2 linked regions of the Oryzias latipes genome follow. The protein of the gene in region 1 purifies or fractionates together with the protein of each later gene. This does not show direct contact. Links are inferred from orthologs where the notes say so. Each region holds a gene or a part of one and is shown on either strand. Other genes may lie near its edges. The genes, in order: klc2 and kif5c.

Evidence for each region.
Region 2: the proteins of klc2 (region 1) and kif5c purify together in Homo sapiens (affinity purification with western blotting; 3 studies listed by BioGRID and IntAct, with this or other methods). This does not show direct contact. The link is inferred for Oryzias latipes from reciprocal best matches to the Homo sapiens genes KLC2 and KIF5C.

Annotation. Positions count from the first base shown.
Region 1 is NC_019876.2:19,375,526-19,379,904, forward strand, and holds the start of klc2 (kinesin light chain 2), read right to left. Parts: upstream 3,035-4,379; 5' UTR 2,913-3,034; intron 1-2,912. UniProt on the Homo sapiens protein: Kinesin is a microtubule-associated force-producing protein that plays a role in organelle transport. The light chain functions in coupling of cargo to the heavy chain or in the modulation of its ATPase activity.
Region 2 is NC_019860.2:3,535,181-3,538,420, forward strand, and holds the end of kif5c (kinesin heavy chain), read left to right. Parts: intron 1-706; coding exon 707-923; intron 924-997; coding exon 998-1,077; 3' UTR 1,078-1,094; intron 1,095-1,175; 3' UTR 1,176-2,493; downstream 2,494-3,240. UniProt on the Homo sapiens protein: Microtubule-associated force-producing protein that may play a role in organelle transport. Has ATPase activity. Involved in synaptic transmission. Mediates dendritic trafficking of mRNAs.

The sequences.
Region 1 (4,379 bases):
CGTGTGGCCATCCCATAATGATTTCAAAACTTCCTTGGGATATCCTTGACTCGTGTGTTTTGGTTTCGTTACTGTATTTTGAAAGATTTTTTTTTGGCCCCATAAGCGATTTTCGACCCATTCATTTTTTTTTTACAGTATTGCTCGCTGTGATGTCATTGTCTTTGGGGGTTGTCGTTCAATCTGCCAAAAACTCACTCCGAGAAAGATGGTGTTTTTGGCATGTTTTTCTCAATATGGAGGACATATAAAGAAACTTAAGCCTTATTTAACATTTCTGAATATTTCCTTCAAATTGTTTTAAATCAGGAGCAGATAAAAAAACTGCAACTTATTTGTGACGTAGAAATTATGCTGGGTGGGCCACAATCTCCCTGCTCCACTCCATTCTGATGCATACTCTTATAGACAAATAGATTCATGAACGTCTTTGTTTTCCTCGTCTGAGCTGACATCTGGTTCAAAACTGTACAGCTGGATAGCTCCAATATTGCTCGCCAGTTTTGTTGCACCGCTAATGTCAGGTTGGGGGTGTTGTTGTTGCTGAGTTGTGTTCCGCACAGAATAGAGGTGAATTTCTGATTAACTACTGCTGCTTTGGAGCAACTATGTCCTAGAAAACCACACAGTTTTTTTAAATTTGGCTAAAAATGGCTTGATGATAGTTAAAAGACCACTGGAAACAATTTTACAATAGATAAAAATGAGAGAAAAAATGATCAGTGTGGGTCATTAATGTCTGCCTGTGAGAATTGTAAAAAGTGTATGGTGAGGGGTTTTACAACCTTAAAACATCTATAAATATAGTAAAATTAAAGCTGGCTACTCTACATATTTTGTCTTTGCAGGTTATTTGTAGAACGCCTGATAAACAAGGGACCACCATACACAAAAAAAGGAAAATGATATTTATTCTGAGAATTTCTTTTTACAAAACGAAATAGTTTAGTTAAAGGGCCTATACCTTGTCAAATCAACAGCTTTTTTTATTTTGTTAATTCCTCACAAAAGACAACAACCCAAAGTGGTATTTTGATCCATTGACAAATTTCTGAGTATTCCTCTAAAAACCAGCTCTCGGAGCACCAGCCCCTCCCAATCCATGAAAATGAGTGGGTCCTCACCTTCACAAGTATAAAATGAGAAACAGCTCCTTCCAGGAAGAGTCTATGCTCCCAGCACCACCCCCAGGCTAAGACACACACCAACATTCTCCGTGGAGCTAGCAGGGATCGGCTAAACGCTTTACTTTTCTATGCACAATATGCACATCCATCTTTGCAAAAGTTCGAATGTCGTGTCTTTTCATAAGCGAAACGCAGACACACTGCCGAGGCTGGCTCTAGGCTGACGTCACGAAAGGGCGGCGCCCACAAGGAGCGAAAGACAGTGCCTCAGAGATCCAGTCGTGTTACTTCCAGGTAGGAAAATGAGCTGCGAAAATAACTGTTGTTTCTTTTAAAAAAAATGTTATTTAGTGTGCCAAAGGTAATATATTATCATATATATGGATTACTCTGAGCATGATACAGGCACCCTTACCAAAAACCTTCACCAACAAAACCAAATACTTGAATTCATGTTGTCAATATAGTCTTCAAGAATGATACTACACAAACATGTCTGAAATCTCATCCACTGATGTTGAGTATTTTGGTAAAAATGAAATAAAATATTTTTCCCAATATATTGTATGTTTTATCATGAGTCTGGCGATACGATATATATCGCAATACAGATCACGCGTCATTCGTTCTCATCTGGAGCCCACAACGAAGCATCACAATCCACGATTCTATATGGTATCGGCAGCAACGTTGCAGAGTTTTTGTTCGGGACCTATCCCAAGGAAAAATTAAGTCTCGTATGTCTCATAACAACAAAACTGAGAGGATGCCTGAACCTTTAGCATTTTACACAAGCTGATTCTTGTGGGATATTGTTTTGGTGCAGTGTAGAGCTCCTCGAAGAGGCTCAGTGGGCTGTGCTGCCAACTAGCGGTCGCAGGTTTAAATGGAAAATAAGAGTCAGACGCTAAAGGAAACCTAAAAATAAATCAATATCGTCTAGGCAGCATTTGTAATCGATACAAATATCGCCAAGTGAAATTTTGTGATACATCGATTTCCCCCTACAACCCTATAGTATATTACAGCTCTAAAATATTGATATTTCTCGGGCTGCGATGAAAATATCTGTTCAACCGTTTTGTTACAGAAGCCCAACTTTTGCAACTTGGTGCCTTCCATAATCACAGCGCACCTGTTTCCCCCCGCCCCTCCCCTGGCTGTTCCACTCACTCACCCATCTACCTACCCCCTCCCATCCGCCTCGCACACCGACTGCAATGCACCAATATTCACACTCTTAATTTCAGTTTTTCAAACCGCCGCCTGTCTAACGGGGGTGTAATCTATTTATTTGTCACATTCAATGGGAACGTTTTAAGTTGCAGACTGAAAGGAGGAAAATACCGGCGGATGCGTCAAGGCCTGAGACCGGGAGGGAGGCGACGTTTGTCTTGGCAGCGAATCAATCGAGGTGACCGACAAGGACGAAACTCGTAAAATCCACATTTAGTTTCTTCCGAAAAACATCCCAAAAATCATTCGCGTTTCGGCTCTCCACATATTAATGAAGCGTACAGGCCGCTCCCTTGCGTTTTACAAGGGGATGCACAATATGTCGCGCACTAATTTATTGCGCTTTGGAGGCTGATGTCCGTCATCAATGACAGTCATGAAATTTTACTACAGTCGACAAATTAAAGAAGAAAAAAACACAAAAATTATGCCCGATTGTGGCCCATAATTGCATACATAATCATTTTTCCAAGAAAAATATAATAAAAGATCATTTCCATAAATTATAACACTACAAAAATGTCTATATATTTGTAAAAACTCAGCTACCTTCGTCGAAAACGGTGCGACGCTTTCCGACTTCGGGACAAAGCAGCAGCTGAATGTTGTGATGCTTTGACCTGCGTCAGTCTGCGTCACTCGTGGCAACTTCCGGGAAGTTTTCAAAAATAAAAGCCAAAATACACCAGTGGTGACCCGTCCCTATCTTATTGGATAGGAAATAGACTTGCTTTTCTATTTACCGACGTCTTCATTAGCAAGTCTAATATAACCACCACCACCAAAACAACAACAATAATAATACTTTAAATCTCAAAATTATGTTCAGAAATCTGTAAACGTATTATTCCAGAAAGAGAACATTTATTTTGGAAAAGTGAATAGGCAAAAATTTAAAAACTAAATAGATTTGGATTTTTAATCAAAGAGTGATTACTACATATCTAGTGATAAAACTATTTTTAAAGAATGAAATGGCAATCTCTATACCATTTTGTTTTTGAAAAGAATAATTGAATAATTGAAGGGCCACATCCATTACTCATCCAGTGTTGGTCCTTGGCCAAGACCCTTCACGCTACTGCCTAATTATGTAGCTACAAGCCCCCCCCCCCCCCCAAGTCTGGGTCTCCCTGTGCAGTTCCCCACCCAGGATTAAATACAGGGTTGTGTGTCAGGAAGGGCATTCAACGCAACGTAACAACCCAAATGTGTGCCCTTCGTCAAGACTGATTCGCTGTGGCGTCTCTTGGCAGAATATGCTGAAAGTTAAATAACTCCACATTTGAACCAAACTGGTTATGTCCTAAGAAGCAAATATTAAGACTTCAATTTTTTTTTTAATTTCCCTACTTTGCTGGGCATCATAGTTGTTCCTTCCTCTCACCGACAACATCCTCTTTTCCTTGAATTGGCTTTGATGTCACGATGTTCAGAGTAACTTTTTTAGGGCTGTAAATGGTCTTCAAAATTATCCTATAGTAGATGATATGGTACAAAAGAGCAAAACAATTTGAAACTAAACAATGTTTCAAACAGTTCGTCCGATTCTGTCTTTTATTCTTAAATGTAATGCTGTTTGTTTTTAATTTAATTATGTTGATTTCAGACCAAGAAACCACTTATTAGTGATTAAGTAAACAGTAGAACCTATAATCCAAGTCTTGCTTGTTGATTAATCATTAAATATGAATGAAAAGGAGAAGCACATCAAACCTTTGTTCAATATATTTATTACAGAGGAGCTGACTCTTGTTGAAGCTCAAAAAAAGCTGAAAAGTTAAAGCACTGGGACTTCTTAATGATGGAGCAGTGAATGGAAACAAACATCACAACAGGTTTACAAAACAGGAACTTGAAGCTGAAGCTTCTTGTGGTGTTTGTACCTTTTTTTTTAAGTCAGCCTTCAGAAAACAAACATCTTTATTTTTACTCTGTGGACAGAGAACTGACCTTTAGTCATAGTACATACTTGTCATTTTTATACAATCATCTAACACAAGTTAAGCTATGAAA
Region 2 (3,240 bases), on another chromosome or scaffold:
CGTCAATCAAATTGATTGGAGGTTTCTTCAGTTAAAATAGGGAACCCAGCTGCGTGGCATCATGGGAAAATTAAGTAAATTAAATCAAAAACATCAGAAGTCATTTTTAATGTCAAAAAAAAAAAAATACAACAAAGAAAGCCAGTGAAACTTTTCTTTACCAGTACATCCCTATTGTGAAGCATGGTGGTGGCAGTGTCATGTTGAGGGATGTTGAATGTTGAGGCTCCTCTGCTAAAATGAGGAACTTAGCTGAATGGCTTCATAGAAAAATTAAGTAAATGGAACAAAAAACATCAAAAATTGTTTCATTTTTTAATTTTTGTAAAAAAAGAAAAACAGTTGAAGAAATCCTTTTCCGACCAGTTTCCTATTCTAAAGCACGGCTATGGCAGCATCATGATGAGGGAAGTTGAAACTCAATAAGTTTTGTGGCTTAACTTAAACCCAGCATGTAGTTCCACAAAATATTCATAGGTGGCGCTAAAATACGAGAAAAAAAACAAATTCAGCAAATCTGTTCGAGAATTTTACTAAAAATCTTAAAAGCAAAAATTAGCAAACACGGGCACGTTTTTTATTTTTCTTCAAACAGATTTTTGCTTAGTGTTCATTAATCTACCCGAAGCATGTGATCAAAATCGTAAAAAAATCTTTCTGCAAAGTCTGTTGTTTGGGGTAAGCTAACTCAGACGGGTGTTTCCAGCTGGTTCGCGACAACGCCGACCTCCGCTGCGAGCTGCCGAAGCTGGAGAAGCGTCTGCGAGTGACGGCCGAGCGCGTCAAAGCGCTGGAGAACGCCCTGAAGGAGGCCAAGGAGAACGCCATGCGGGACCGCAAGCGCTACCAGCAGGAGGTGGACCGCATCAAGGAGGCCGTTCGCGCCAAGAACATGGCCAGGAGGGGGTTCTCCGCGCAGATCGGTGAGCTTCTACCCGCTTTTTGGTAGTTTTGATCCAAAGAGGTTGCTCTAAATTTAACTGGTTCTGCTCCTCAGCCAAACCCATCAGGCCGGGTCACCCCCCCACGGCGTCCCCGATCTGTGGTTCCGTCAGAACCGGGACGGTCCGCTCCTAAACTGAACTCCCACACAGGTGAGGTTCTGGGCGGCCGTCGATGGCTTTTCTTGCTCTAAAAACTGTCGCTTCATCGCTTTTTAAAATTTTATTTTGCAGACAGTAAACAACTCTCCGCATGCCCACAACAAGCCCCGCCCCCCTCCTCCTGTGGCACCGTCAGGAAGCCTCCTCCCCATTTTCCGGTAGTTTTTTTTGTTCCTCTTGTAGGTGAAGTTTGTTGGAGGGGAAGACAAGGATGCCGCCGGAACACGCCTACCGCCGGACCTCCTGAAGGAGCGCCACCCAAAACACACCCTTTAAGAAAGCAACAAACAAGGAAAACACACAAATGCAGACATTTGAATGTTTCGTCATTTTCATTTTTGTCCTTCATTTGTCTAAAGTTTGTGTCTAAAACCATATCTATAAAAATGGTTTGTTTTTGTAAACTTGAAGGTTTTGTGACGTTAGCAAAACTGCGGATCCACAAAAGAAAATGCTCTCAAATATTCCATTTGTTGCCGTTTTTCTCGTCCTGCATCATTTTTGCAGATCTACGGTCTAGTGAAATAGTTGTGATGCAAACCTATGGAACACCCAAAGTGACAAAATTCATTTGAGGGGAAAAATAAGGCATGAAATTAGAATGTTCACAAATGAAAGAAAAACATCCTACAAACACATTTAAAACAAATATTTGCTTTGTTTATGTATTTAAAACTCTAACTTGTAATAATTAAGCTTTAGCTTAGCCACTGCTTTTTTTGTAACTACAAAATGCTAGCTAAAACAATTAGTAGCACTTTTTAGATTTTTGTCCCCAAATTTTCTATATTTGAACGCTAAATTATTTTACATCAAGCTCAACACGCTAGCAATCTGTACATTTAAGGTTTTAAATTTAGGACCAAGAACTGAGGCCCCGCCCACCTAATTACCATAGTTAGTGTCACAAAATTTCTTGACAAACCTCCGGACATTGTTTACACATTATTTGTATCAAGGTTTTATTAATTTAGTCTTGTTTAGACCTCCGTATTTATCGGTTCTTGTTCAGGATGTTGCAGTCTGATCGGCCAATCAGACGCTCCCTGACCTGCATCAGCGCCTCTCCGGGTTGTTTTTTTCTCTGCAGTTTCGGACAAATGATTTCCGACGTTTGTGCCTTTTGCGCTCGCGCTCGAATGTGAATGTGACCCTCTCTGGACGTGAGCGTCATCCGTGAAAGTTCTCTGTACTCGTCGCTGAGCATGACCGAGTTTCCTCCTGTATGTACCGAGGGAATCGAACGACACGTGAATGAACGTTCCTGCATGACGATGCATCCTCCAACCAGAAACCACATGTGTTTGTTGGGAAATCCAACGGGTAAAAAAAAATTTGCACCATTGAGATGTTTTATTTTGTAGAAAAAAAATAAAACTATTGTTTTGGTTGTTGTTTTGACTATGAAGCAAGTCACGTGACATGAATATTATCTTTTATATGATTTTTGTTTTATCAGGCAGATTTATTTTTAAGATAACACAAAAAAACATTTAAATGAATCTATTCATTTATTGCTAAACATTCTGATTGTGCAACAAAATGAAGACACAAAAGGAAAAAACATTTGTTTTTTTCAGGGAATATTTTCAGAGCAAGCAGAAGAATGGCGCTCAGTCACTTCTATCTAATAAATCTTTAAAAAAACATATTAACGTAAAACCAATTTTCAAAATGTACCAAATGAAATATTTGTTTTCTTTTTTAGTCAAACTTATGAAAAGTAATTAGTCACTGAATGTAAGTTTTTTCTTAAATGTTTTATTTATTACATTTGCAGCAATAAAGCTGTTTTATTTTGAAGGAAAAAGGCCAAATATTTTTTGTTTTCCTCTGACTGTAAATCAAGTCAACTTAAAGTTTGTTTTTGTAAATTATACAGAAAAAATGCGTCTTATTTTTTTCCCCCCCAAAGTTGATTTATTTAGAAGGAACACAAAAAAGGGTTAAAATTAATATATTTTTTGATTGCCAAATTTTCCAATTGTTTGACTCAATTAAAATGAAAACTAATTGTAAAAAATATTTACATCTTTTTCTTTTGTGGTAAAAAGGCGCCGAGTCACTTCTCTGGATGTATTATATAAAAATTAATCACAAGCATGAAATTTATCAAAATAAATTATTTGTTTACTTT